Linked DNA regions of Arabidopsis thaliana. The protein of the gene in region 3 binds, or shares a complex with, the protein of the main gene of each other region. Each region holds a gene or a part of one and is shown on either strand. Other genes may lie near its edges.

Evidence for each region.
Region 1: AT3G09180 (region 3) and AT3G10820 share a complex: the UniProt entries of both Arabidopsis thaliana proteins name them as parts of the mediator complex.
Region 2: AT3G09180 (region 3) and MED31 share a complex: the UniProt entries of both Arabidopsis thaliana proteins name them as parts of the mediator complex.
Region 4: AT3G09180 (region 3) and AT5G19480 share a complex: the UniProt entries of both Arabidopsis thaliana proteins name them as parts of the mediator complex.

The regions. Positions count from the first base shown.
Region 1 is NC_003074.8:3,385,660-3,394,456, forward strand, and holds AT3G10820 (Transcription elongation factor (TFIIS) family protein), read left to right. Parts: upstream 1-1,540; 5' UTR 1,541-1,698; coding exon 1,699-2,067; intron 2,068-2,178; coding exon 2,179-2,247; intron 2,248-2,360; coding exon 2,361-2,443; intron 2,444-2,740; coding exon 2,741-2,793; intron 2,794-2,871; coding exon 2,872-2,993; intron 2,994-3,105; coding exon 3,106-3,133; intron 3,134-3,217; coding exon 3,218-3,501; intron 3,502-3,585; coding exon 3,586-3,667; intron 3,668-3,751; coding exon 3,752-3,845; coding exon of another isoform or gene 3,846-3,846; exon of another isoform or gene 3,847-3,969; coding exon 3,970-4,003; exon of another isoform or gene 4,004-4,249; coding exon 4,250-4,317; intron 4,318-4,493; exon of another isoform or gene 4,494-4,577; coding exon 4,578-5,034; 3' UTR 5,035-5,344; downstream 5,345-8,797. Other genes in the region: AT3G10840 (alpha/beta-Hydrolases superfamily protein), read right to left, coding at 5,548-5,777, 5,894-6,017, 6,114-6,212, 6,320-6,617, 6,703-7,153, 7,424-7,622; AT3G10845 (RNA-binding (RRM/RBD/RNP motifs) family protein), read left to right, coding at 8,350-8,383, 8,469-8,542, 8,617-8,688, 8,773-8,797. UniProt on the Arabidopsis thaliana protein: Component of the Mediator complex, a coactivator involved in the regulated transcription of nearly all RNA polymerase II-dependent genes.
Region 2 is NC_003076.8:6,729,249-6,736,367, forward strand, and holds MED31 (SOH1 family protein), read right to left. Parts: upstream 3,743-7,119; 5' UTR 3,574-3,742; coding exon 3,524-3,573; intron 3,445-3,523; coding exon 3,347-3,444; intron 3,223-3,346; coding exon 3,126-3,222; intron 3,032-3,125; coding exon 2,953-3,031; intron 2,888-2,952; coding exon 2,798-2,887; intron 2,620-2,797; coding exon 2,366-2,619; intron 2,249-2,365; coding exon 2,236-2,248; 3' UTR 1,988-2,235; downstream 1-1,987. Other genes in the region: AT5G19900 (PRLI-interacting factor), read right to left, coding at 1-797; AT5G19920 (Transducin/WD40 repeat-like superfamily protein), read right to left, coding at 4,374-4,692, 4,776-5,146, 5,428-5,593, 5,967-6,011, 6,292-6,448, 6,530-7,119. UniProt on the Arabidopsis thaliana protein: Component of the Mediator complex, a coactivator involved in the regulated transcription of nearly all RNA polymerase II-dependent genes.
Region 3 is NC_003074.8:2,815,523-2,823,016, forward strand, and holds AT3G09180 (mediator of RNA polymerase II transcription subunit), read left to right. Parts: upstream 1-3,571; 5' UTR 3,572-3,755; coding exon 3,756-4,029; intron 4,030-4,123; coding exon 4,124-4,289; intron 4,290-4,461; coding exon 4,462-4,912; intron 4,913-5,002; coding exon 5,003-5,062; intron 5,063-5,145; coding exon 5,146-5,214; intron 5,215-5,307; coding exon 5,308-5,351; coding exon of another isoform or gene 5,352-5,370; exon of another isoform or gene 5,371-5,429; coding exon 5,430-5,574; 3' UTR 5,575-5,903; downstream 5,904-7,494. Other genes in the region: AT3G09190 (Concanavalin A-like lectin family protein), read right to left, coding at 6,128-7,165. UniProt on the Arabidopsis thaliana protein: Component of the Mediator complex, a coactivator involved in the regulated transcription of nearly all RNA polymerase II-dependent genes.
Region 4 is NC_003076.8:6,568,165-6,575,397, forward strand, and holds AT5G19480 (mediator of RNA polymerase II transcription subunit), read left to right. Parts: upstream 1-3,336; 5' UTR 3,337-3,663; coding exon 3,664-3,691; intron 3,692-3,779; coding exon 3,780-4,072; intron 4,073-4,220; coding exon 4,221-4,424; intron 4,425-4,533; coding exon 4,534-4,593; intron 4,594-4,726; coding exon 4,727-4,765; 3' UTR 4,766-5,459; downstream 5,460-7,233. Other genes in the region: NUDT24 (nudix hydrolase homolog 24), read left to right, coding at 1-23, 118-332; AT5G19473 (RPM1-interacting protein 4 (RIN4) family protein), read left to right, coding at 1,257-1,610, 2,466-2,516; AT5G19485 (transferases/nucleotidyltransferase), read right to left, coding at 5,743-5,808, 5,902-6,018, 6,107-6,211, 6,290-6,382, 6,469-6,720, 6,809-6,896, 6,971-7,020, 7,130-7,188. UniProt on the Arabidopsis thaliana protein: Component of the Mediator complex, a coactivator involved in the regulated transcription of nearly all RNA polymerase II-dependent genes.

The DNA.
Region 1 (8,797 bases), 570 kb from region 3:
CCTTTTAGAAAAAAGATTAAAATAACTCATCGTTTGTAACTCTACTGGTGACTAAGTAACATAAATTCCGGACGGAACAAGGCTTCAAGATCACAAGCCAACGAATTTCAAAGTTGGAAAATGAACTAAATTCGAAGAGATATTATGAGTTAAAAGTCCGAAACTGTTTTGTTATATTAATTTAAAATAGGTTTTACAATTTTAGATATATAAGCCCTAAACAACTTTCACAAATCCAAAATGGATACACTAGAAGCACAATTTGAAAGATACATAAAACACTGAACCCTTACAAACACATGACAAGAAATCGATTAAAAGGCCTTTAGATTCAAATCAAACGCAAATGACGTAGAAACAAATAGTCAAATACAAGTAGTGTTTAAGCTCCATAGCTTAATCTTTGACCCCGTGATCTTGCTTTTGCATAGTAGCTATTTTTGTAGAACCAAAATTATGCAGAAATTTTTACACTGAACCAAAACAAAAATATGCAGAAACAAGATCATGCATGGGTTTTAACATTAAACCAAAAAAAGATCATGAATGAGTCAAAGATTAAGCTATGGAGCATAAACGATAACATGTGATCGGTGGAAACAAAACGAATCATGCAAGTATGGCTTACCGGAGTTAAAATGGATTGATCCGACAAACTTGTGAATCTCCAAGTGCTGAAAGAATATTTAAAATAGAAGAAAAGGAAACTTTTGGAAGAAGAGAAGTCTTTAACGCAACTGAAAATAGAGTCGAGGATGATATCGACGACGAAACTTCAAAAGACAGCTTCAACAACGGGAACATGTGGCTGAAGCTTAACAAAAGAGTCAAAGCACGAAACTAACGAGAAATTTAATGAAAAAAATACAAAAATAATAATTTAATACTAGTACTAATTAAAAAATAGTGCTAAACATCTGTGGGACTATGAACAATGCTTTTTAAAACGACATAATTGCGACACCAAAAACGCGTTTATTTAGATTACCTTTCAAGTAATTCACGTGATAAATGTAATTATCCATAACTTTGAAAAATGAGTACCCCATTGTTGGTATCAGGACATGTGTAATGTGTTAATAATTTACTATTACAGTATGCTCTGAATGTAATGTTGATAACATAACTTTAAAAAAACGAATATCCCATCTTTATACTAGCTAGGCCATGTGACGTGTTTTTCATCAAGGGTCATTATGTCATATAGGACGACACATGTATAGTCTAGTTATTACTAATTTACTATTAACTAAATAATCATTCAGTTAATCATAAGCCTATATCTTTAGAATTAATATATATATTGACAAATTCAATATTTTACTTAAATAAAACAGATGAGTTATCAAGATAAATGATCAAAACTATTACCATTTTTTTTTATAACCTAAGTTTTTTAATGTCGACATAAATTTCTGGCTTTTTAAAATTCTAGGGTCTTCTTCTCTTGCCCTCTTTTAATTGGCTCAAGCTCTGTTTCTTTAAGTTTTCTCGGGAAAGTTCTTGTGGACTTTCTGCAGAAACTTTTGTCAGATTCTCAGGCGAATTTTATTTCCTGCAGAGAAACTTAAAAAAAAAAAAAACTACACAACTAGTACTATATTGATTCGTATTCAAAAACCTAAATTCAAATTTAATTAGGGTTTTGCAGATCGAGGAATTCGGATTCCGGAATCGATTTTCCCTCGCCGTTTCGTGATGGCGAAGATGAGACCATCTGTTTCGTTGGATACTTGGAGAGAGTATTTCCGGCGAGGAGATTCTGATATTTTTGGTATCATTGATCATGCGATTATGGTAGCTGCTGCAGATTGGCCAAAGGAGTTTAAATCCAGGAGTGATAGAATTGCTGAGCTTCTCTTCTCTTGTAAAGTGAGTCGCTGCATTGGTTGTGACCACCTTGAGCTCTCGATAGCTGGAGACGAAGCGGCGGTGGAGATAGTTGGAGTTGGCGGCGGCGGTGATAGGGGTGATTCTGGTGTTGCGACGGGTGAAGGTGAAGAGGCGTCTGTGAGTGTTGATGAGGTTATGAGGATCAGAGATATCTTGTCGAACAAAGACGATGAGGTTTTTAGTCTCTTTGCTTGGATTACATTAAAACTTGTGCTAATTCATTGGTTAAATTTGGAATCTTTGTGTTGATTGTTGAGTTTTTGGTTTCTGTCATCTTTTTTGCAGAAAGATTCTGTGTTACTCGAATCTCTGAGAAAGCTTGAGTCAATGTCTATGAGTGTGGACATTCTTAAGGTTTGTTTTTTTGGTGTTGTTTTGATATTGTATGATTTGGTGTAGTGGAAGTTGCTTATTCTGATGGAGCTTTTCGAGGCTGTGGAGTGATTTAAGTGTTTACGTTCTTGCAGGATACTGAAATTGGAAAGGCTGTTAATGGTCTGAGGAGACATAGTTCCGATAAGATTAGCAAACTTGCAAAGACTCTTTTCGCGTATGAGTTTCATCATTCTCATTGTGTGCTTAGTTTCATTTGTTCTCATACTCTCGCATCTGTGATGTGAATTAAACTTTGGCAAAATGTTCCAAAAAAATTGAACCTCCACGGTTTGATTTAGATGCAAACCAGTTGCCTTGTAGGATGTCTCAAATTGTAAAATGTCATTATAAAAGCCTTGGTTGATCATTAGGGAGCTGCTCTTGTGTTAGCTCAATACTTAGAACATTTTACTCTTCCTTACTTTCTGGCTCCCGAGTATAAAGATTGTGTTTTTATATATGGGATGCACAGAGAGTGGAAGAGGCTGGTGGACCAGTGGATGAACACCCCAGAGGAAATGGCTGGTAAATAGCTCTCTCCTCCTGTTCCGTAGTCAGTGCGAGCAGGTTTTGGTCTAGATTTATAGTAATTGGGTCTTGCAGGCACTGAAGGGACGCCAGAGTCTCTAAACCTTTCAGTAATTGATGAAGAAGAAGCCTTTCCTTCTCCTCCACATGATTTAGATATCTATGCACCTGAACCTAATGGGTTTGAACTTTCTCAGGTCTATTAACATTTTTCCCTCTCATCATATTTTATTTCTGGCATAGACGAAATGTTATCCTGACAAGTTTCCTCCCTCGTCCTTGTTTCATAATGTCTTGGGTCACTTGAAGATCTTAGATTGTTTGGACTGCGATGGAAGTGAGTTAGTATACTCTTTGGTACTCTGTTCTCTACTTGAAAGTTTTCCTATATTTTGACACTCATGGTGGCCACTGTTTTCAGATCCTCGTCACAGTGTGGAGTCCAAACATGAAAGAAAATCGCAAAGTAGTGCGGGGAGGAGACCCAAGGGAACAAATGATGCAAATGTGGTTGGGAGGTACTGCAATGATCAACAGACGAGGAGAGAAGAAGCTGATGTTAGACCTATGAAGCACTCAGCCACAGATGTTGTCGAGCCTAAAAGACAAACAAAGCAAAGTAGAGAACAAATGGTATCCGCAATCCAACGAAAACCAACTGCTGTTACTGAGCAAAAGCGGAAACTTGCTGGACCTCAACAAGATGTGAGTGTTTGAGTTAATAAAGCCGTGGTGTTTGATTATTAATCTGTTTTGTTTCTAATAGCAAGTGTTCTTGTCTTTGTTCAGAAACTCAAAGCTCTGGATCCAGACTCAAAGTTTGAGTTTGCAAAGCGGAAACTCCAAGAGAGCTACCACCAACATGAGAATGGTTAGTCAAATCGTCTTAAGAGATTTCAATATTTCCACTATTACAATACACCTAATTCTTAATGACCCATTTGTTTTTGAACAGCTAAGAGACAGAGGACGATACAAGTACTGGAAACTATCCCAAAGCAAAATAAAGTTCAGAAACCGCAACTCAAGAGACCCGCCACACGAAGATAGTCCATTTTTTCCTTCGGATGATCTATACAATTACTACGACCATTCAGAGGCGTTAATATACAACAAAAGTGCATTGACAGATCCAACATAAACTTCTTAGGATGCTCTATTCTTTTGTCCCAGTATTTATTGGTACTTCTGGTCCAGTGAATTCCCGGTTTGGTCCGGTTTTGTGACAATAGAACCTCATAATTGTGACAAGGGAAAATCCCTTTTTCACTTTCTTCATGTTTCATTATGAAAATAAAAAAGAAAATTATTAGGACAAAAGGGCTTCTCGTATTTGACCATCCCTAAACCTAACTTGCGAGGCAAGCAAACTTTTTAAATCTGTTTATACAAAGATTTTGTAATTTTTAATATCACTTATGAGGTGAAATATAACAGAGTGATAAATTCCTAGGGTTACGAGTTACCTTCCCTCATCCTCAATCTCGCGAATCCTCGTGATAGTTCCTCCCAATTCTCAAGGTACCTACTTCAATTTTCCTTGTTGTAAATTTTGTTTTCCTAGTGCTAGTTATCGATAAACCTGATGGGTTAAACGTTGAGCTGTTAAGAATTCTGGCCTAGATTTTGTACGTCGGGGATACAACCGAAAGTCTTTGATTGGAAATCGAAAAGCCCTAATTTTGTGGCCTTTATTGATAAACATAAGTGAGAGCATAGGTTTGGTAAAACAATGGTCTCTGTTTGCATTGCATAGAATTGAAATTTAGCTGCATATGTAGACATGATGAGTTGATGATTGATATTCCTGTATATTTTGGACTCGTACTTGTGCAGATAGATAAAGCAGAGATGGTGGATGAGATGATGATTTTCAAGAAGATGAGTGTCCTTCTAACTGAAAAGGATTTTGTTGATGCCATCGTATCTGTTTCTCTCAAGGACCTTACGAGATCACTCTTTGTCAGGTTCGAGGCCAAGGCTTGCCCTAAGTTTGACCTTATCCATAAGACTTCCGTCGAGACGGTTAGGTGCGTAGGGAAAACCTTTATGCATATGCTCTCTAAGGTTTCTAGAGAGTTTCCTCCCCGCAATCGAACTCATCCCGGTGGCCTCCTCTATCAGCGATTTGATCCTACTCACTTGTCTCTTGCTCGCCAACAAGTTGCTATATGCAAGGAAACTGATTCACAGTATCCGCATGAGATTGTGATTCACTGGACAAGTGCAAGCGCCTGAAAGTGGATGCTCTTGGTTACATGTTTACTATTGCAATGAGATGCGCCCCTAGTTTGGCTTATCTCGAAAAGTTCAGGCAGTACATGGCTCAGGCGAATGAGAAGAATCTGGAAGATGAGACTGCTGCTACTCTGACGAACAAGAAGCATGTCGCCCTCTTGGCTGAGGAAGACTGCACAGTCCTTTGCACCCCTCGCTTTGAGTTTCAAAATGTTGCCGACTTTGTTCTTCCAGAAACTTTGCGTTGGCTTGACGAGTTGGAGCTTCAAGCCAGCTTCAAGCTCCAAGCTAATCAACTGGACTCTGCAAAACTTGCCCGCACTCGCAAGAAGCACCACATGGTGTATTATTCTCGCTTATATATCAATCTGTTGAAGAATCAATGTCTCTCGGTTATTTTATTCTATATCTATCTAGTCTTTGATATTGTCGACATTTGTTTCTTCAGGTCCAATAACATGAAGAATCTCTCTAAAATTTAGTCTTGATTGAGCTAAAATATATAGTTATACTTCATGATACAATGCCTTGGAACTTCAAGTCCACGTCTTGTTGTTGTGACCCTCCAAAAGCATTCCCTAGAAACTTTGCAACAATAGATATGAATTCATCTGGTTTTTCCTCTTGAGGAAGATGACCACATTTCTTAATTACTTCGAACACTGATCCCGGTATGGCTCGTGCCAGCCTCTCTGCGTTCCATGCTGGCACAATACGGTCCGTATCTCCCGTCACAATCAGAACTATTAGAAACATGAAGATAGTATGATGTCATTGGTTCAGAGTTCAGACATACAATGCACAATATTTGGTTCCAATTTCTAATTCATTGTCAGAATCTTATAGAAAGAGATATTACCAGGGCATTTGATTTCTTGAAGCCTTTTAGACAATGGGAGTTTTTTCTCTGAGCCATTATTATCTGTTAGTGTAGCCACCGTGAATTCCACGAGAGCTTTGTCCCATCCCTTGGCTTTAAGAGGCTGTTTTTTTTGCAACAAATACAATCAAATTTCCTAAATTTTTAACATAACAATGCAGAAGAAATAAAGAAACCTGAGAAAACCCGAAAATCTCACCTTTGTATAACCCTGCACGACATGATCCGTCACTTGTTTTGAGTCATACCACGCGTTCCTAACAGCTGTTACTCCAAATTTATTGATTGCCATCCTCACCTGGTGAAAAAAACAACCACCTTAGAAACACATCAAGTGTTCTGGTCTAACAACATATAAAAAATGACATGACTGGTGAATGAAGCCAAGACAAAAAAAAGCGGTACCAGCATTACTCCAAGGAAGGATCTGAGGAAAGCTGCTAAAGCTTTCTTGTAGAGAGAACTCAGCATATTCGCCATTCCCGTTACCACTCTCAATACTGCTCTTATAACACCTTTGGTTAACTCAACTAGAGTCCCTAGAAAGTTGCTAGTGGGAGCTTCTTTGTCACGGTTCTCTCCAGCATCAGTTGTGGCCACAGGACGGGGAGCGAATATAGCTGGAGCGACGAGAATGAGAGCAGCAACACGCTCCGGGGCTTCAAAGTAAGCATCTAAAGCTACAGGGCAACCAGCAGAATGCCTACAACATATGAATTAACAATCTCAGCTTATGGTGGCACTTTAATAAGAAATGCAAAGTATATGGAACCTACTAGCTTACTTACCCCACAAGAATCGCCTTATCGGCAGCAAGAACATCGATGAAATACAACGTAGTGAGCACGGAATACACCATGGAGTAGGGATTCAATGGTTTTGCATCATTGGTAGCACCACTAAACGGGTGAAAAATCCGAGAAGTCAAACCAAATGCTGGTCTATCAAAGGCAAGAACTTTTGAACTAACGAGACGAGCTAATGGCTTCATAACTCTGTTCCAGGAGAACACAGAAGCGCCGAAACCGTGCAATAGAATCATCGGAAACTTGGTTTTTGGTGTTTCTTGAGCATGAGGGCTTGTGTTTGAAACATCATCAGAGAGTGTATGTGGATCTAACACTTTGTGGTGTATATGAACACCTTGAAACTCACAGAAACAACTGTCTGGATCAGCTAGGTTCATTGGATCCTGTTCTGTTTCAGCTTCCATCTCCTCTTTACTATGTGCTCCAGCATCTAAATATTCATGAAACAAGAAGATTACTCATATAAAATTAGATCTTTATGGGAGAAAAAGGAACAATTTGTGATACACAGAGAGATTACTCAAATCTAATTTCATCCAATTGGAACTATAAGCTCAAATGTTCCACAATTAGCAGAATACTAAATCTCATAGGTGAGTCAAGAAACCTCAATATGGTAGTTACCTAACACGAACAGAAAGATTCATCAATTGAAATCTGAATTCTAAGTAGAAAGAAAGGAACAATTTTTGTAAGAAACCTGGGAAGCCACCAGAGAGAGAAGGAGAAGAAGCAGCATTGGAGACGATGAGACGGCGAGAGGGTTGGCCGGAAATCTGACGAGACATCTGAAAATGGGTTCTAGAGGAATCTGAACTAAACTTGTCGCTGAGAGATAATGTTGAGAGAGTCTGCTTTGGTTGGTTCAAAAAGAAGATGCATGTGGTGTTTAAATTCATTGTTGCTTCCTACTAATCAGACAGAAGAATAACATCAACTACACAAAAGTTCTGACATTTTTGTTCTGTTTTTTCTAAATTAAACGGCAAGGTTAGATGATTCAACAGTGTTTTGTCTTTGTTTGTAAAACAAATTAAAAAAAAAAATGGTGATGAATTCCTGACTTCTCATTCTCAGTTCTCACCTACACAATCTATTGGACAAAAACTAAAGATCATTGGATGAACAAGAGGACCTAAACGTAAAAAGCCCACTCCATTCGTTGCCACTTGGCTTCTCAGTATTATGGGCCGCCAAGATTAAACTATTCCATGTTTTGGTATTACAATTTGAAAGTTTTATTTTTTTTACTGCTTATTACCAAACCGGTTCACAGTTTCACACATAATATCAACATGACTGGTTCATACACCTTTTACAGGATCACTTAACACAACACACACACACACACACACACTTGATCCCAGACTTGAATTGAATCTTGCTTGGTTGTGGAAAAAAGCCCAGGACTAGCCCAAACCAGATTATTTTGTTGTTATGAAACCAGATTGGTTGGTGGCAATAAAAGCCCAGGCCTAGCCCAAACCAGATTATTGTTGTTATGAATACCTTACCTTCTTTCTTTCTTTTTTGTCAAGTATCTTACCTTCTTTCTAGGGTTGTTATTATAACTTTGAGTCAATTGCCTTGCCGGAAAACAAAATTGGCGCTGTTTTCACCGTCTCCATGGCCAGTTCTAGCAAGGAAGTTAATTTATGTGGTTTGTTTTCAGTGGCTCTGAGCTACTATCTACTTGGCTGTTGATTTTATTTCTTTTCTTTTCCATTGATCTGCTCTTCTTTTAGGTAAGAGAAATCCGGAAGATGATGATTTGGAGACCAAACCGTTTCTCAAGAAACATAAGGACGAGGAGAAGAAAGTAACGTCGGATCACTCCACTTTTTTTTTTTAATACATACACCACTTATGTATGTATGTATGTGAATGTAACAGGAGGAGACACCGGAAGGACTTGCTGATAGCCTCCAGCACAAGTCTGATCAAGCTAATTTAATCTCTCTCAAGGTTTAATATTGTAATAAGTTTTATTATGTTCAAATTAAGCATCTTGTTCTCCAAAATCTGTTCCAACGGCTACTCGCTTAACAGGAGGAGGAAAGTACTGTGGAAGGAC
Region 2 (7,119 bases), on a different chromosome or scaffold from region 3:
TCTTCATCATCCTCCTCATAAGGTTCCAACTCATTCCCATCAGCTCTCAGCCTAATCAGCCCTTTCATAGAGCCATAACCATCAACCCCCCACTCCTCCTTCGCCATATCACCCAACACCTCCCTAGACGGCGAGAACATTGGCGTAGGCAACACCGCCGGTGTCACAGGGCATGGAGACACCAACTCAGCAATTCCACCAGATTTCTTCGCCCTGATAATAAACGAAGTCGTGTTCCTCGGCGCATAAGGAACATATCGGTTACCATACTTCTTCTTCGGATAAAACTTCCTCGTCTTTAACCTATTCTGAGACTGCAGCTCATTCAAAGTCGGCGGCTTGTAACCACCAGCACCAACCTGAATACTACCAGAACCAGGAAGTTGCTGAGGGTTATACATAGGAATCCCAGAGTTATGCATCCTCCTAATTTGCTGCTGCTGCTGCTCCATCATTGGCCTCTTGTCACTTGTAATCTTCTTCCCTTTCCAATTGTTCCGACTCATTTTCGAACCAAAGTTATTAGGAGCAAGATTCTGCTGATACTCGGAACTCAAACTCTGGTTAAGGTTAAAGTTGCGTGGATTCATCATCATTGGCTGATTGCTGTTCATCATAACCTGTGGTGGCTGCTGATTCATTCCCATAATCGGATGAGATTGGCCTAATAACGGACTCTGGTTCATAATCCGTGGTACCTGTGACGGCGGCGGCGGATTCATCCTCTGTTGCGGTGGAGGCTGACCAATCATCTGCTGTGGAGGTGGCGGATTCATCAGCTTAGATTGATCGTTCATCTAGGTGACACAAACACTAATTTCGAAACAAAAACCCTAATTTTCGCAAATCTCAAATCAAAAGTCGAAGCAAGTCGATAGATAGATCAATGGACAAGAGATTAATCTGAGTGCTGACGAGTGGAATTTTTACAAAACAAACCACAGATCAAACAAAAAAAAAATTACAGACAGATCAAACAAAAAAGCCAACAAGAGAAACACTAGGATTGGGATTTTTCGTAATTAGAATTTTGTTTGTTAAGTTTTTAAGATGAAGTTTTAGGAGTTTGAGAATCTTTGTTGTAATTTTGGATCTGGAAACTTTTTTTTTTTGGTTTGGGCAGAAGAAAAATAAATTAAAGGCAAAGAGAACCTCTGTGTACGAACGGCAGAAGAGATGATGAGATTCTTTAAATAGAGGCGACGAAAAGATGCCAAGTCCTAATCAACGATGGAGATGCGACACGTTTAAACCGACGGCTGAGATTATGTTTATATTTAAAGGGTAGAGTCGGTTACGGTTTTCTTTGATATTATTATTATTATTAGTTAGAAATATTTTAAATCATAAACCTAATCACTTGATAATTTGGCAAAATATTATTCAACCTTTTTCTGCTAAAGTTAATTTAACTTTAATATCAAAATTCATATTTGGACGTTCTACTTTAGGTAACTATGTTTTTTGCCTCTTTTTTTCTCTTGATGATGGTATTTTAATTATAATTTTAGAGAAAAGTGGACTATTTCCAAAATTTGGTTTTGATTGCAATCACACATTAGCCCCAAAATTTGGACTATATTAACAAACCTCCCTATAATTAATCATTCAATGGAGAAGAATCTCAACATTTTAAGGTATCAAAGTCATTTCTAATCCATAAGTGTTCATGTTCTTCTTTTATTCATATCCTTGAGTTATGCTATTTTCTTCTCCTTTCTTGAACCGTGAGTTACGTTATACGAGTTTCATCACATATCAAGTTTCGTATACCATGGTCCATAGCACACTCTGTCATGTTTGGGTCTTCTAACTGTTGTCAAAGATACGTCAAAGAGTCATTTCGTACAATTTCCACCAACAAGTGCAACATGGAAACCCCACTCCTAATTAATGTTTTACCGGCAGAAGCAATCTCTGCCAAGGACAAATGTTTGGCATTCCCATAATTTTTCCTATTGCTTCTAAGCTTCTCAAAAAAAATAAAGTGTTGCAATTGTCAAGATCGATAGGAACAAAGATAAAGACTGATACTGATTGGGGGTTGTTGTATATCATAGACAAAGATTGAACACCATATATGACAACTTCCATAAACGGCCTATGACACGGAATGAGTAATACCGAGTTTCCAACATTTTTGTAACCTGAGTCAAGTAGGCTTCCCTCCTAGGACATGGAGGAAACCATATCTGACGACTGACGCCATGGTGTATGCTTCAGGGCAGGAAATGCTTATATACCCTTCCTGACATTATATGACTCACATATTAGAGTGTTGCTTTTTTTCGTAACACATTTGCAGTCATCTTAAAAACACACACAAAATGGTCATCATTATCAAGAAGAAGAAAGGAGCACATACTTTCTCTTCCTACGATCAATTCCAGTAGCACCCATATTCCTAGTGTCATTCTTAGAAAGCATATTATTGTACTGCATTGGAGAAAGGGCTGGAGAGAGAGCAGCAGTTGCAGATGGTGCAGGTGGCAAAGAAGTTGAAGGTGCAACTGGTGGTTGTGGAGGTACAGGCTCTGGAAGAGGCCGAGGTAGAATGTGCTTCAGTCTGTTGTTTCTGTAGTTCTTCCAATAGTAAAACTGTTGTCTATGCGCCAATTCCTGGAAAAATCCAGATTCAACCGAAGACAAAGTTCAAAACTTAAGAAAACTTCAACAACAATAGATTTCCTATAAGAAATTCTGACAAAGGACATAAAGTTTAGAATATTAAACAACTTTCTCTATCTCATGAATAGATGGGCATAAACGCAGAATCACAGAACCAAACTAGCAGAACGTAAGCAAGGTTTTGTACTAGAGAGACCCTAAACTCTACAAGTCCCCAAAACACATTCCAAAAACACCAGTACCCTAACATTTTGAACCACTCCCTATTCACAATGCTCACTAACATGCTGATTTCACTTGATGATTCATATCGTATTCTTGTACCTTGTTTGCAGGATGAGCCATAGCAGTCCTGAAGTTGGGGTTTTGAAGAAGTTCAAGGAAATATAGGCAGTGTGGGTACCTGTAACAAGAACATAGGAAACCAAAGATATATTATCCAAACCTTCACAAGACTCTACAAGACTACACCAATTCCATAAGATATTCCAACTTACATAATGAACTTGATGTACTCTGGTCGCTGCCAGTATTGAAGATACTTCAAGTATCCAATAAATGCTTCATCTTCAAAATACCGATTCTGTGCCAGGTCTGCCAAACAGTAACCAAAAGCAGAATGTGGTAAGTACAAACCCTAAGCCTTAGAACAAATCCCTTTTTAAATCTCAATTTCGAACACTAAAACCCTAAGCCATAGAACGAATTCTAAACTTACAGTGGATGTAAGTAGGATTGGCGAGACATTGAATAAATTCAAGTTCCAGTAAGAATCGTTGCCTTCCACCGTCGGGATCCTTGTAAGTGTTTTTTGGCCTGTAGAGATGCGAATTAGATAATAAAAGAGCAGATTTGAAGAATATGAAAGTGTACAAGAGGAAGAAGATGCACTCACGGGGATGGAATTTCTGATGCATCATCACCCATCTCCTCTGGCGAAGCCATGAACGAACGGAACCTGAAGCAAATTTGGATTCTCCCAATAGAGGAATCAGACGGAGGTAGACGGAGGATTTTGGTTCTGATTTCTGAATTGAATTTTGGTTATAAACCAAAGGCCTAAACCGGTTCTGAATGCAAATAGAAAAAGAGATTGGAAAATTAGTACAAAATTACGGTTTAAGAAGCGGTCTTTTTTTTTTTTTTTCCACAAGAAGCGGTCTTAAAAGAACCGTTATACTCGGTAGCAGATGGAGAAGTCTCTGCCCAAACTTGGAGTTACTTTACATTCAAAGATTCACTTGGTGGCATTTTTAGTCATGTTATGAATCTCTTTCTTACTTATCTCAAGATTATGAATCACAAGGACAAATCTTGAATTTTGAAACATGGACCGGAATCTTTATGCAATCATACAAAAGTTTTTTTGTGACCAATCGATATAGATGTTGCAACTCTTTGTCATGCTAACTATGGTTGAGGATTATAGCAGACAGAAAATCTGAGGACATTTGGCTCCAATGAGTTGGCCCTCAAAAATGTATACTGTACATTGTAATGTTGTAATCCCCGCAAAATGTGACAGCTAAAAAGCTAGAGTTTCCCACAGTTAAAAAAAAAAATCAAAAGACAAGAGCCATCAGACCCTGGACTGACCTATGCAACTCCCAAGACAGTTTTCGTATCCAGCCTGCGTGCTGTACTCAGTTCTTACTTGCCAATCAACACCTTGTGCCAACTTGCCAAGACAAGTTCTGTTTCAGAAGTTAATGGCCTTCAAATTCAGGTGATGGCTTTACAAGTTTTCACCATAGCTTGTGAATCCCAATTGCTAAATCTGATGAGATGGAGACGAGCAGCGGATAAGAAGAGTGCCACTCGGCTTTGAACACTCTTTTCTTATGAGCTTTCATCGAGAGAGACGGGCTCGGTGCATTGTATCGGATATCAAAGATGTGGATCACGGGGTCTGCAGAACCAGATGAGATGTGTAAACCATCTGGAGACCAAGACTGATTAATTAGAGCCGACTGCGATTCACTGCTTTCTTGCTTCCACCCAAAAGAAAATAGTTCTGTCTGAGGCAATCTAACATCATACAACCGCAGTTGCCGGTCTAGCTGCCTGCAAACACAACACAAGCAAAAGAACGGACTTTAAGGCAATCGCTTCTTCTGGGATATATATAAATCAAGAGTCAGTTTTACCTCGTGTTAACCATGACAAGATTAACATCTCGCGGGTTTGGCATTATATTTGTGCATCTGTTGTCTAGTCTATGTTTAAATGTGACTTTTTCTTCTCGGGCATCAAACCCAACAAATCTCCTATCGTCTCCACATGACAAGACGTGATTGTTATGGCGCATTCCAGTAACTCCCATCACAGCCGACGAATGCAAGTCCCTATGCAGAAGCGTCGGCTTCCACGCATTATTCTCACACTGATCCCGCCATAACACTACTGCATGGTCACTCCCACCTGTGATGAAGCAAGGATCATCCCAAGGCGTAAACATGATTCTGTTGATAAGACCTTTGCTATGAGGCCTGTCCTCCATAAATTGCGACTCACATCTCTGCAGATGAACAGATATCCAAAAAGAAATGAGCACATAACTAACTTCCCCAAGGATAAAAGACTATAACCATCAAGTTAGATCTTACAACTAGTAGATAAGTCAAGGGTCGAATCAAATTCCCAATTATTCCAGCTATATTGATTTTTTTCTTTCTAACAGGTTATGAAGACCAAGTTAACTTTCTACAAGTTTAAGCACACACTCCACTCATGAATGTCCAATCGCAAATTTAATATGGTAAAACGCTAGAATGTGCTACAGCATTCATATACTTTTACCTCTCCAGCTTCATTCAGATATATGGCTGATATCTGAGGGTGACCATCATCTGCAGTATACACGGAGAAAAGTGCATTCTTATGTGGATGCCAAGCTATATCTTCTGCCCATTTCTTCTGATCTACTGCTACCCGATTAACCGTCTTAAACAAAGTAGCGGTGGACCTGCTCAATGGTGAAAGCATGATGGATAGGTTAGTATCCAACGAAATTCAGATTAAAATGTTCACGAAAATAAGAGTAGAAAAAATTGTACAAAACTCTATCTCTTAAGATCATGTACAACTAAACGTTGCAGCTTGTTGACAAATATAAGTGAAACTAAATTTCGCCTACTTATCACGTGGATGGATGAAGGTGATGTCAACTGGAACTAGAAATACATAATTAAAATTTCTGATACATATGAAAATCAAGGAATTCTATATGGATTTGAAGTTGAATAATCCAATAACCCCTCCTAAAACCATTTAAACCCCCAAGAAATCAGAAAGAAATATCATAATCAGTAGATCAGGCATATTTACAGGAGACTTACCTATCAGACTGAAGCTTCCAGAAATGAACAGCCCCATCCAATGCACTGAAGCATAACCAAAAACCAAAATCAAGAGAGGGAAAAGAAAAAGATTAAGCACATGAGTCGAGAGTATATTAGGTTAGCTAATTGACCAATGACTTTCTTGGTTCCATGATTCCCTCTTATGCATATAATATCATTTCCTTAGTAAAAAATCCAGACAAAGCCCCAAGCGACAGTTATGAGACCGAATTTCATCCAGGAGAATGGCAGATAATAATTTAGGTAGCATCTTCTATTCACTTTTGGAAAAGAGAAAAACATAAATAATGTAAAAAAGCACCTTGTAGCAAATAGCTCACGGTTGGAAGGAGAAAGAGCAAGACTTCTCATTCTTTTCGTGTGGCAACTTGGTAGCATGCCGGCAGTACGGCCTTCAATTGTGGGACGCAAAGAGCTTCTACCTATAAGTGCTATCAACTCATCATGTCCTCGGAATTCTGTAAAGAACAAAAGAAACAATAGATTCAGAGCAATGAGAAGGTAAGATGTGGCAAATCGACCAAATGAATGGCTTTTACCAGATTTTTCCTGTTGTCCTTGTTGAGAAATGTTAGAAGAAACTCTGATCCTTGGCTTTGCCAAATCCTTATTAGTGTGGTTATCTGGAGCTTGAGCAACTTCATTAGGAATACTACGAGATCTCTTGTCAAGACCACTTTTGTCTTCCTTTGGGACATTAGAATCCCTTGTAGCCATGGGCTGAGCTGCGTTATCTCGACCTTGGGATTCCCTCACCACTTCATCAGGAATACTCCGCAATCTCCTGGCCTCAGGGCCACTTTTATCTTCTTTTGGAACATCATAACCCCTCGTAGCCATGGGTTGAGTTTCCTTATCTCGATCTTGGGTTTCCCTTACCACTTCATCAGGAATACTACGAGGTCTCTTGGCCTCGGGGCCACATGTGTCTTCCCTTGGAATGTTATAATCCCTTGTAGCCATGGGTTGAGCTTGGGTGGTCTCATTTACTTCAGCTCTGACGGTAGCAGAAGCTCTTCGTTTAAAAGAAGGCGGTAAGATAATGGATGGCAATTTCAAGGATTCCATCTCACTAGGTGATTGTGGAGTAGAGTTTTCATTGGCAGTCTTCGTCTTATTTCCCTCGTTC
Region 3 (7,494 bases):
GTTCATGCACGGCCTCTTTGTTTTCAAGCTGCCAATAACCAATAGCGAAAGTAAGTGGGTTTGCTGCAACATAAAGTATGTATATTGTAACTCAAAACCAGAAATAAATATAATTACCTTTGTGCTCGCCACATGCTCCATATCTTTCGCTCGCTTCAGTGGCCTATTAGATTGTGCATCCATTTGAGAACAAGATTTTTTCTTTCCTCCTTTCTGAATAGAATCTTCTTCTCTTACCTAAGAGGCATCAAAAATATATGTCATTCTTACCGAATACACACAAATGCGTCATAATCTTCACTGTATTCTCACCTCCATTCTAGTGTTAGGGTTGCTGCGTTCTGGAACAGACACTCCAACGTTTATGCCGCACGCAGCCGGCAAGTTGTCACTTCCTTCACTTAACCCAATATTAGGTTCAACCTGTTGGGAAACTCCATGCTTATTTCCTGGCTGGTCAGCTCTTATTTGGTCCTGATGCATCAACAGAAAATTGTTGTTTAATGTGAAGCTGTCCATATACATCAAATAGCACCTACTAGTGCAATACTTGAAGTCTCAACAAGCAAATTGAGGTGCTTAACCTGTTTAGAGTGGGCATCAGCAACACATTTGCTGCATTCTCCAACAATTCCAGCCTGTCTATTTAGCCCACTCACAGCTTCCCTAACCGATTCAGTAAGTATTGCAACCAATTCTTTCTTCTGCTTAACCAGTTCAGCCTCAAAGTATGACTTCAATTCATCGTTGTTTGATTGTTGAATCTTGAGAACACGTTTCTCAAACTCATCAGCTACCTCTTTGATGACTGCCTCTCTAAGACCATGTCCAGCAGAGCCACTATCATTGTTTTCCATCTCGCCAGCTCTTGGGACTTCCTGCTGCAACCCTTCTCCATCCGCAAAACTGACACCATCTTTATCTGTCACCGGTCCATCCTTATTCGCCTCACCATCCAATCCGTCTACACCTTCTCCGGCTGCACACTCTTCCCTCTCTTCTGCAGCAACACCAGAACCATCAACATCCATCTCATCGTCACCATCCCCCTTAGCCTGATTCACACAGTCATCAGCCATGAACTCATCTTCAGATGGATGTTCAACATCATTAGCATCAACACCACCACTCCAACTGTTATGCTCGAATGGGTGTTCCTCCATTATCAATGATAGCAGATGCGAAACTTCTTCATCATCCTCCTCATCTGAGAAAGATAAGTCGATCTCTTTCGCCAGGAGCTCTTCATTCAGCAGTGAGGTTACCCGGTCCTAAAAGTTAAGAGTCAATAGAATAGATAAGTCAAGTACACAATCTTTCTACACCAAATACAAAGAACAAGCTTTACAACAATAGAATTACCATGCCACTTTGGTCGATAGTTCGTGCATCATGCACATTGATGTTCAAACTCAGCCCCAATACATACTGAACCAGCTTCTCGACTGGAATGGTTGGGTCTAGAATGTTAAACACCGAGTCTGCCGTGTATATAATAGCTGGACAACATGCCACTGTCACAAGAACTAAGGCATGAGGAAACCCTTGTATAGCTGTGGTATCTTGTGCAAGCTCCTTGGCTGTTCTTTGCTTGGCGCTTCGAATAGTCGCGAGAAACGAAGTTCTACCCCAAGGATATTTAAGAAAGGATTCTACATCTTTTACCATCTCTACATGGTCAGGATCGATGATAGTTCGCGAACATGTCGGGCAAAGAATCCCATCAACTAGTAGCAGCAACGATAGGCGAAATCGAGTCAACGGGTCTTTGTATTTCTTCCCCATAGATAGCTTCCCAACAATCCATTGTGAAGTAGGCTTTCTCTCTTTCCCAAATAATGCCTTGTAGAACCTCGTAGGATTCTGAACCGCTTTCATTTTCCCTCTTGTCCTTGCATCCTTTTTGTTGAATCCAGATTTGCTGCAGTTAAGCCCGGTAACAAGTGCAAAATCATCAATGGCAAATCGAATTGGCTTCCCTGCAAACACCCACCACATTTCATACTTCTTATCTGTCACCAACTGCCTAGATAGAATGTAATGTAAGAACATTACAGAAAACTGATGCGTCCCCATTTGCAACAGAAATCCAAACTGCGAACCCTCCAGCTGCTTCAAATGGTTTTGATCTAGAGCAGCCTTGATGATCTCAATCCACCTAAGAGTAAAGTAATTGTTTATCCTCTTTCGGCCCTCAGGTTCAGAACCTAGCCGAAACAAACGCTTTGGCAACTCTACATCCCCCATGGAACAGATACACTGAAATACAAATGTCCACGTATCACTTTTTTGATGCTGCTACTTACACAAATACAAAATATATAAATCTTAGATGTAAATATATGTTATTAACAGACTCAACCAATATAGCCTCAGCTTTCCGTTACTATCAACAACAACAAATGGATTACATAGAAGTTGAGTTAAATATTAAACCTTCATAACACCAATTAGTGGAATATCGGATTAACCAGCAAAGATTCACTAACTAAAGCTACTCAAATCCGAGTTTATGCTATTCAATACTGCAAATAAAACTAAAAATGTCATTAACACATACAACCAATTTGAGTAGCTTCCGTTACTATCAACAAACACAAATGGATTACATTGAAGTAGAGTTAAATCCTAAACCTTCATAACAATTACAAATGAATATCGTATTAACCAAGCAGATTCCCTACCTAAAGCTACTCAAATCCGAGTTTATGCTATTCAAGCTCTTCAACACAAATTAAAAAGATTTTCCCAAAAGCCAAAAAATGGCATTTCATACCTTAATTTGGCTGAATCCCTTCGCCGACACCAATTGCCACAGAAATTCGAGTGTTACAGTGGAGACGACGGAGATATAAACACCTCTACTCCCGTACAACAAAACTCACTCAAGTACTCTCAACGGAATCAAAAACCCTCGATTGAGAAAAGAGCCAACATAAGTGTTGTACGAAACTCGGATGCTTAGATAGGCTCCTCCTCCAATTGCAGAAGATTTATGCAGTCCGATTGCCAGAAATCGAAGCCTCCACAGTCCCCAAATCGAAACCCACAAATTCAATCTTCGTAAACTCTAGAATCGTCACTCGGATTGCACACGCAGTCTGCTCTTCGAAACTTTCCCGGGTGTCGCTTTTTAAAGCCCAGAATTTTCAGATTTTCTTACTGTAACTTCTCTGAATGTTCACCTCTATTTGAATTTTTACAGAGTAATACATAGAAGTTATCGATTGAAAACTCAGAAGAAGAAGAATAAGCGCGTGTGCTCACGCACGGGTTAAGTTTGTCAATATTGCATAAAGTTCAATACATATTGGTTGAAGTGTTAGTTTTGCAATTATAATTTTTTTGTTGGCTATATTTGCAAATTTCCCATTTTTTTACATGTACAAACTAAAAAAAAAAAAATATTAAAGTGAACAAACTGTACATATGGGCTAAAAACTAAAAGTCCCACAAACATTGAGATTACAAAATACATTTTCAGTCCAACATGAGCCATAAAGCATTGCTTAATGGAGTAAAACTCAATTTAACAGAGTGGAATAAATTAAACAAAATAAGACGTGAAGGAGCAGAAGCAAGCATATCAACAAAAACGCCTTTGAAACGCAAACGCTACAAAATTGCGTCTGGCGTTACAGTAGATTGAGATTTGAACGTGAAATTCTCCGAGTCCAGAAACATTCCTCTCCTTCCGTCGTCGTCAAGAAGATCAATTTCATTGAAATCGAAAGAGTGTGCTTGAATCACAGCTTATGCAGACGCTACACCAGTCCCAACTTCTCCAGAATCCGGCCGAGGCGGCGAACAATCAGTCTGAATCGGACGCGCCGCCGAAACAGGTGGCTCAGGCCATGGAACGACTCAATCAAGCGGCTAGGGTTATCGCCGATATCCGCCTCGGCGCTGACCGTATCCTTGAAGCTATGTTCGTGGCTTCGCAACCTCGTCACACAGACATGCCTCTTCAGCTCTTTCTCAGAGAAGACGCCTCCATGCGTCAACATCTTCAGGATCTTCGCTTAATAGGTGCTGAACCAAAACTGAATCATTTTCATTAGTATTGATTGATTCTCTAGATTAGGGCTTTTAAGGATCGATCAATGTTTATTGCTTGGTTCAGGGAAGAAATTGGAAGAATCTGGAGTGTTAACTGAATCACTTAGGTCAAGAAGTAACTCTTGGGGTCTTCACATGCCTTTGGTTTGTCCAGATGGTGCAGTCGTTGCTTATGCTTGGAAAAGACAGCTTGCTGGCCAAGCTGGTGCTTCTGCTGTTGATAGAACCAGGTATCAGATTCGTTGCTAATCATTTTAAAGCATACTTAGGGTTTAGGTTCGAGTCTGCATATTAGGGCTGTTAGTGAAGCTTGGTGGTACCAACTTGGAGTTTCATCAGCTAACCAATTCTACTGAATCTCATGCATTCTCCATTTTCTCGCGTTGTGTATAATGACTGTAGGTTAGCTCTCAAGGCCTTCACGGATCAGAAAAGACGATTCTTCCCTCATATTGATGATGGATTAAAGATGGAACCAAGCTCAAAAAAACATCGTGCCTCCCATTTGCTATTAGAAAATGGAAGAGAGGAGCCGGTTGATTACAAAACATTGCCAGATATACAATCGCGTTTAGAGAAGCTGGTTCCGAGTGTGAAGGTGTCTACTTATGGACGATTGAACTGGCTTAAAAGAGCTAACTCTTTACCTGGGTCAGGTAGTGATGATCCTACAGAAGCATCGAAACCTATTTTCCAGAGTTCTAGCAAGCTGAGATCAGGGTTACAGACTGAAGTTGTCGACAAGATTGCTGTTATTGAGTTATCATTTCCTTCTCTATTCAGAGCTATAGTCTCGTTGAGTCCAGCGGGTTCTGTTGATCCAGATGCAGTTGCTTTCTTCTCCCCAGATGAGGTCACTTCCAACCTCCTTGCATTAAAATATACTGATTCTCATGTGAAATTGTTTAAGTTCTCATGTTTTAGCTTCATCCCTTTCTTACAGGGAGGCAGCTACTTACATGCGAGAGGCTTCTCGGTTTATCATGTTTACAAACACATAACGGTAATAAAGATGCGATTGATATTATATATAGTTTAACAAATTTGATTCATTGGGGACTTGCATTAATTAGATTTTTCTTGCAGGAACATGCTGCTACAGCCTTGCAATATTTCCTCGGCTTTGGTACTGGAACAGCTCTCTACTCTCTTCTGGTAAAGCATTTTACAAGCACACTTCAGTCTCTGGATAACATGAACCTTTTTTGTCTGGAAGTTAATTAACACCTTTCTCTTCTTCTTATGCAGCTATGGATATGCAGTTTTGAATCCGTATTTAGCAAACCTTGCACGTATGCAGACTCTCCGTAATTCTTCTAATACATTTGTTTCCCGTGGACTAACTTTTCATTTCTCTTCTGATGATGCAGTAAATGTGGAAGGCTATTAGCAATGGATAAAAAGTCTGCGTTAATCTTACCTCCTTTACACCGCGCTTACCAAGAATTGCCTCTTGCATTAAACCTGGACGTTTGTGAAGCTTACCACTCCAGTTGCTCTCAAGATGATACCTAGTACTCTAGTGATTAGGGAGGATCAATTAAAAGAAAGGTTAGAAATAAGTTCTAATAACATTTTGTATGGATCTTTAGTATCTGCTCTTCTCCTTGATATACCTCTTGTTTGTTGTTGATGTCCCATGTTGAGGTTTAGATTAACTTTCTTTCTTTCTACTCTCTGGTAACATGTGAATGTTGTCTTCTTTCTAGAGATTTGATCTTTGTTCACGAGATGACTGAACAGAGACCTTTTTTTTTAACTCGGTTCACATTACTCTGTTGCAGTCAGCATCAAAGTGAGAAAAAGACAGTGGGTGTTGATTTTTGCTTCCGATCCAGAAATATAAAACATGTTAAATGCAAGATCAATAAATTAAGTTATTTTGCAAGATCAAATAAGCTTACGGCTTCTTTCATAGAGATTGTACATGTGAAACCTGCAACTAACGAAGCAAATAAAAGAAAACACTAAATAAAGATAACACCAGAGGAAGTGGAAGAAGGTACTACATTTACACTACAACAAGACAACCTTCTTAAACCAAAGCCAAAGCCAAACAAACTTCTCATTACTTCTTGCCATCTTTAACTGCAACGACCACAATGCTCACTGCACATTCCTCTGGAACCACGGCCATTGACCGCCTAACACTGCAAATAGTCCAAAGATACATAGCTGACATTGCCCCTACGGCTCCACATACTGCAGCCAAGACCAGAGCACCAAGCATTCTCCATATACACTCACTATTTTCTCGGCCCTCTTCCATTTCCGTGGAAACGTCCGGCTTCAAACCTTCATTTGGTCCTAATGGCGCTGGTTGCACCCATATCGGATCAAGATGCCATATTTCAAAGCTCCATGAATGGAGAAAATGTGGCTTGGAAGAGTTCCCATTAGCAGAGCTTAAACCCACCATGACTTCACCACCTTTCCAAAGCTTCTCCAAGTCTACCGAGAAAGAGAAGAACGGATCAAACATCTTTATCGAACCACGTTTTCTGAAACGAACCCTCATTCTCTTAGAACTTGCCTCATAATCAATCATACAGCTCAAAATCCCTCCATCATCCATCATCAAGTCACCCACAAACGAAAGGTTTCTAATTTTGGCAGACTCAGGTCTACCAATTAAGACTCTTGCACGGTTTCCTCTCTTGGAGATATCAAACTCAAAAGCAACAACTGTCTCGTTCTTTGCATACTCTAATAGAAACCCTAAAGCAGAGGAACTGTAATCTTTCTTACCAAACAGACTAAGATCCAAAGTACTTGGAACCATTACAAAAGCCAAGACATCACCAATCTCATTGGGCATCGAAAACGAGAAGTAAGTCGAGAAAATAACGGAGTTCCTCTCTTTACCTTGGAATAGATTGATGGGTTTCTTGTAAAAGACTCGTCCCTCGGTCCGATTCACTGAGTCAGTCAGCTGAATCGAAGAACTGTCATTGACCAGCTTCGAATCTCCAAACAGAGCAACACTCTTGTCAAAACTCTGAGATTTTACGAATTCATCAAATGAAAACGTGAAATCCACACCTGCGGTTCCATGTATCTCAAAGCATAAAAGGACCAGAAAAGATAGGGTTTTGAATATCGCCATAGCTATACTGAGACTAAAATTGGTTCTCTCTGATTTAATGACTACAGAGACGAGCTCTTCTCTCTCTCTTACTCACTCACTCACTCTTCTCCTTCTAAAAATGGAATTTCTAGGATTTGAGAATGACTTCCATTTTTTCAAGAAGTATTTAAGTTTGTTGTTTTGTGTGGAACTATGCGAAGAAAGCAGAGGAAGAAGTTAAATATCATCAACACATGCAGAGAGATTGATTCGTTCTCAGTCCCACTCACTTTCTCCCTCGTAGTGGTTGCTGACTAAGGTTAATGCCGTTTCTGATTTGTATCTCAGTTTTATTACATTCTATCATG
Region 4 (7,233 bases), on a different chromosome or scaffold from region 3:
AGATTTTGTTCCCACAAATCAAGGTTAGGCAATAACTAGTAAAGCAATCAGTAATCTTGCTCAGATAGACAGGTAGATATACTTTGTCATAGCATAGTAATCTTAATTACATTGCAGATGGAGAAGTTGACAGCTTCAGGTTGATTCCAGTCGCTCAAGTTGCTAATGTGGTTCGGAAGACTAGTTTTTTTAAGGACAGTTGTTCCCTGGTCATTATTGACTTCTTGTTTCGGCACGGGTACTCACTCTTTTCTCCCAAAATTTCTACCTCAGAAGAAACATGTTACTTACCATTATATATTGCGGGACTTTTATGCTCTCGCCGCGGATAGTAACATCCTTATGAGCAATCTCCAATTCCCTTTGGCAATACATTCTGTTCCATTTTGTCTATGCAGGTTAATCAGACCAGAGTCACCGGGTTACTTGGATCTATACCGACGCCTGAGGAATGGAGATTGCTCATAAGGACGTTACTTTCTATCTAATGTTTTAAAGAAAAAGCTCACTCTCTAATAAATTAATATTAGATACTCTGACTATGTAATAAGACTCATGCATGTATATAATATTCAGAGTCTTCATGTGCCTTCATGAACATATATATACCAATCAAGGAAGTTATAAAACTTCATTTATACAAATGAGCAAAACAAGTTCACAATTTAATTGTTCTCTTCAAACAGAGTTATTGATTTTTAGCATCAGAAAGCTAATCCAATTGTGTGAAGCAAACACTAATTATTTTCATCGTTATCCATTCGAATTCTTGTAACGATATGATGAAAGTACACTAAGATTGACATTTCAACCTCAACAACTTTCTACTTGCTTAGAAGTCTTCATGACCCCTAACAGCCTTTTCCAATAGGATGCCAAAAGTTAGTATTAAAAAATCCCCCGGACATAAAGGAACACCATTGCTTGAGATCCTCCAAGTTTAGAAACCTCCTAAATCTGCTCCTATGAAATCGTGATTTCAAACAATTTGTACTATAAAGGAAAAAGTGGAATTTTACAAGAGAGATCGTTCTCCTCCTCGTCATGAACACCTTCATCAATGTTTAAGAACATCTTTCTTCTAAACCAAGCAATATCTATTTATGGATAAAAGAAGGGAGGCATGCTCTCTAATTTTTTTATAAAATCTTGTTTCTTTTCTTTTATCCAACTATTACTAAATCATCGATCTTTATGATGTCTGAGTTACAATCGAGACATGTTGAGCTTTCATCGGTTAATGCGCGTTTTATAGAATGGGGAAAATTAACCGATGCAATCTCAACATCGATCTCATTGTTCTTTTTTTTTTTTCCGGAAATATTTGGTTCCCTAAGCAAATTATATGTTTATCTAACGAGTTTTATTCTTGGATACAGAATGCTGCATGGACTCCAGTTCCACAGTTCGGAGGGTGGGACCAAAAAGGACCAAATGATGCTACAAACTACTCGGTTGTCTTTTCTAAAGCTCGCGCAAACAGGAAGCAGAACAAAGCTGGTGTAAGACATTCTAGTTTGGGAAGCGAACAAGAACTCATGGTAAGTGTTCGTCGCAACCACCAACAACTTCACCATCGCCATGAAACTCAAGACGATGACCCTGTCATGGTAATTAAATTATCTCTCTCTACTTACTCTTCCATGGATTCTTTGGTTCATATTCACCTTGTGATGATCCTTTTCCCCTTAGTCAACGCGCATGGATCATCACAAGGTGGTATAACAATTCAGGAATTGATTTTCTCTTTGCGTCTTTTGTTTGTTTTGTGTTTTTGCATGCGCCTAAAAAGAATATTTCATTCCATTTCTTTCTTAACTCAGAGACATAATTGAACCATGAATGTTATTCAACTTAATTATGAGTTAATACATGCATCATAGTATCAGGTCTCATTTATGAATATGTAATGATAGTGTATCTTTAAATTTGATGTTATAGTGTATTGGCTTGCAGTTTGTTTCCATGGTTTTGAAATGATGTGTTTTGTTCGAACAATGAATTTATAGTTCGTTTCCATTTTCCCATTTTCTACTTTCTTTTTATTTGTTAGGAAAACTTTGTTTTTTTTTTTGCATTTTTTCCATAACATTTCAATAAGCAACCATATTTTAACATTATATTCCCACCTAAGCTAAATTTCATTACTTCTATTGTTAGATAAAAATATAATTAAACCAACTAAAAGTCTGAATCATATTATAATCTTTGCATTATGTTTTAACTATATGTTGGGAGTTACATAAATTTGTTTTGCTTGGAGCCTCCAAACTTTGAAGAGGCAAACATGAACGAAATGTACACTGCTTTTCTAGAGCGAATATGAAAACTCCATCTCTAGTTTGTATAACAGTCGAAATCACCTTGTTATACGAAGCATTATGCAATATGTGAAATGTATTAAGAGGAAGCATGTTGTCACCGTCATAAGTCTCTCTAACATTACTAATTTAATTACCATGCAGAAGAAGAAGAGGATCTTGACCTACATTAATTGTTGTATAAGGCCAAACTAGGGCTTTGTTCTTCTACAAAGTCGGAATCTTTCTCTCTTCAGCGATATAGCAAATATGTCTCAAGTGTGTAAAGACAGTAGTGTAACGTTTCTGTAATCTTCTTTATCACACACAAAAAAAAAAAACGTTCTGTTCTATGTGCATCATCTATTAAGATACCCCTGGTTGTGTTGTGTTGTGATACATTTTGACTTCTTCCTACATCATACGAGAACAAAATAAAACATGACTTAACCAAACCGTCAGATGCAGAATCCATTTAACTAATCTTCGATAAATTGAGAATTGTCGGATGATCATAGTTTTAGAAACAAGAGTTAAGAAATCATGCATTGATTGCTGGTACGATTTGGCCATTTGGGTGATTTTAGCTTTGGTTAATCATTCTCCAACTTCAATATAAAGGATCCGAACAATAGCAATGACTAAACGAATCACTTTTTGGCCTTAGCAAATTGGTCTTAATTATTTGGCCACAAATACACATACATATGACCATATGAAAAACAGTGGCTATCTTGCAACTGAGTGCCACCACCTAATCGTGGCCATATCCACTAACAAGTTGACCACCGTCTTAATCGGTGGCTATTGACGATTGCAACAAAAATTATTTGACGGCTATATTAGCATTTTTTTTTTTTTTTAACTATGTGATTAAAAATGCAAATTATAAGAAAATTGAAATTTTTATTAAAATAAAAATACAAATGTAAAAAAAGTCGTTGTGAAATCTGTAAAGTTGATCATACGCACTATGAAGCGCGTGAACCCCACGCGGTAACCCGTATAAATAACAAAATTTTGGACGAAAAAAAAACAGAAGAAGAAGAAAAAGAAATCGCGATTTTATAACGCCATTGTTTGAGGAAACTCCTAATCCATTCTCAAACCCTAGTTACTTCCTTCTCGAACGTTCCTCGATATTCCCGCGGGAAATTCACGACCAAGAGCAATCCGTTTTCCAGATTAGGGTTTATATCTCTGGGTTGCGATGAGATCTGCCTCGTGAAGTCATGTATGGCGGTGATTGATCTTTGCTTCAGCTTTGTTTTCGCTTTTCGTCAAATCTTGAGCTTATTGAGCTTTGGCTTGTTTGGTTTTCAAATTCCAATAATTGCAGTTTAATCAACAACAACAAAAAAATATGGAATCAGAGAGCGTTAAGTTTGGAGGTAAATTTGGTTTCCAAGCTTTGATTTTTGTCAAGTTTTATTATTTTGGGATTTGAGGGTCAATGAGCTTCTGGGTTTCTAAGTGCAGGTCCTAGAGAATTGGGTGGTGCACTAGATCTTATAACACAATACAAGTTGTTGCCACACCATGAATTCTTTTGCAAGAGATCACTTCCAGAGTCACTGTCAGATGCTCATTATCTTCATAATTTGGTTGGAGACACAGAGATTAGAAAAGGAGAAGGAATGCAATTAGATCAGCTTATTCCTAATGCATCACTTAGTAGCCGAGATACGAATGCTCGCATCCAACCTTTTGTTCTTGATGAACTTAAGGAGGCTTTTGAGCTTAATGATACAGCTCCTGTTGAATTGCCTCCAGTAAGAATATTGCTCTCTCTGTTTAGATTTTAACTTCCTGTAACATCTAGATCTTTTACTAACCATGATAAGTTGAATTACTTCCAAGTATCTTGTGATGATAGTTGAGCTAGGTTTGAGAATATGAGATCTCCTGTTCTTATTTCAGGCAGAGAAGGGAGCTCCTACCACTGTATCAAAATCAAAAAGTGAGTCAAAAGATAAGGATAGGAAACATAGAAAACATAAAGACAAGAAGGAGAAAGATAGGGAACATAAGAAGCACAAGCACAAGCATAAAGATAGGATCAAAGATAAGGATAAAGACAAGGATCGAGACAAAAAGAAGGAAAAAAGTGGACACCATGATAAGGTTATAAAACTGTCTGCTCTTGTTGGTACCTAGGCCGTCTATATATGTATATTTTGGATTCTTAAATTCGATAGAATTGACGTGGTATACGCTATCACTTTACTTTCAGAAAAGGAAGAACAATGGGACTGAAGATGCTGATGACGTTCAGAGGCACAAAAAGAGTAAGGTAATATACTAATGGCAATGGAGGCATCTCCTTCTTTTTAGTGAAGCTGAATTTAGAAGTTTCTGGTTACTCGCACATTGGTGTTGCTCTGCAAATTTTATTTTTGTCGGCCCTAAAATTAACTTTTTTGCAGCATAAGAGCTCAAAGCTTGATGAGATGGGAGCGATGTAGGTTGGAGGCTGAAGCCGTGCACACTTTCATTTTTGTATTGCACACCCAAGGTGTCATGGAGAGGCTTAGAAGCAGCTAACTTTGTTAGGTAACTCGGTCACTAGAGTCATCTTCTCATCTTTAGATAACGCACGTTTCTCATATGGGGCTGCGTCTGTCATAACCAACGGTACTGTACATGATGAATATGATTGAGTCAACAAAGCTATGGTTGTTTTAAACATGAAGAAATAATTATTGTCTAAGGCTTATAAGAAGATAACCTGGAACTCTAGCGACCGAGAGTGCACTAACTTTATTTTGGAGTCTCAAATAATTAGAAATGTTTCTATATGGTGTAGATTTGTCTCAACATAACATAAAATGATTTGGATTTGGTTTTGCAGGTTTAATCTCTAAATAAAAATTGCATTGTGGGAGAAGTTAGGAGGGGTTAAGCAACGAAAAGTTCGCCAAGAAGAATCACAACTTGTACATTTTGTTACACTTTAAACAAGCTATGAAGTTTATCTATTCTCGTGACTATTTAAACAGAAAGGTTTCATACATTCGAAATCATTTACTCTGAAATTTATCGAATCTGAAGGCATGTGACTTTTTGGGTGTATTCGTCTCTATGGAAATACCAAAAACAAAATTTAGATCTTTCAGGAAAGTGTTTTATCTCGAACAAAAGAGTAAATAATGAGAAGAACAAAAAAAGACATATGTAATATAACCAACGGAACAGAGAGAAGGGTCAGTGGCTGACAAAGTGTTTCAAGACTTCATGTATATGTAATGAATAGCAAAAGATCAAACTCTATCAGTAAAAGATACTAACGGAAAATCTCAAACTCTTAATCAACAAAACCCTTAGTGGGAAACTTTCCAATCCTTCACACTCTTCTCTCCTACCAAACGAATGACTAAGTAATGCTGCTTTTCATTTTAAAAAAGCGTTCCAAGATGTGACCTCATTTGCTTATCCTTCCTTTTCATTTTCTAGCAAAGGTCTCTCCTTTGTGCTCACTCCCGGCACAAACAACATACCCTGCTTCCACCTATAAAACCAATTGATGTTTTGATTATGGAATCTGTAAAAGCATTGATACGTAGGGGACACTGTATTATGAAAACTGAAGGGGGTAACGTACTTGGCAGTCTCTTAGAGTAACACGCTCTTGAAGCTGTGCGTTGCTGCAAATGACTGAGCCTTGTATTGAACATCCGTCTCCAATTGTGGCATGGTCCATCACAACTGAATTAACAATCTGCACCCACATATACAAGCAGTTGAGTGTCTTTTCGAGATGTACACCACCTTTCTTTGGCTGGCTTGAGTAAAAAGCTAATTATTACCTTCACATTGGAGCCTATCCGGCAATGTCTCCCAATTACAGATCTTTTGACACTGCATTTATCACCGACTTGAGAGCCTTCTCCAAGCATACAATGAGGTCCAACCTGCAACCCAAAAATTGTTATTCACGATCACAACTCACAGAACAAATGCTCAATATCTACACATGTAGAGTTACGTACTGTGGTTTTCGATCCAAGCTCAGCTGATGGGTGGACAATGTTGTGATGAGCAGAAAAGGAGTATCCAGATAGGTGGTTTGATTCACCAATAACCTGCACAAGTTTGAACAATTGCGGAGCTTCATAAGTCAACTGAGAAAAAAATACTGGAGAAGGAATCCCATGTGTAAACAACTTACATCTCTGTTTACGTCCATGAAGGCTTGAATGCTATTCAAGCGGACGAAATACTTACTTTCATCCGCTATATAAACACAGCATTTATGGGTTTTCCGGGTACCCAGACCTGATTCATAGACTTGATGAAAGCTTGGCATGGATGCGTTGGAGAGAATTTGAGACAAGACCACCTCGTTGTTCTGCATATTATTTTTTCCATTTCCATTCCCATTTTCTTCTACATTACTTTGGTCAGAGAAGACATCTGATCTCTGATACTCAAGGGGAAACCGCACAAATAAGGAATCAAAATGGTAATAAAAAAAAAATGGTCATTTGCAAGGACCGTATCCGACTAACCAGCTGTGTACGAACAAGATACGGTAGTACATCCTGTTTTAGGCTCCTAAAAGCAGGTTTTTGATCCAAAACTTCCTGCAGAACTGCTCTGTAAGACAAAAGAACATATTGAGTATCGACAGATAAAACTACTTTGATAGCAGGAAAGCAGATCTGACCAACCTCTTGAAGGCATATATATGAGAATCCATCAGATCTGATCGAATTTCCATCTAAATCGAAAATGACAAGATAATTAGAAACTGTACTAAGAATTTGTAATATATGAATCATAAAAAGATGCATTTGTAGGTAATTTCAAAAACTTAATAAGAACATTACCTTGCCAGCCGCACAGAGAATGCTCTTTTTTACTCGGGTATCTTTCTTAATCTCAGTACCTAACACAATTTCAGGAGGTAAACCAACAACAAGTTCAAGCATTT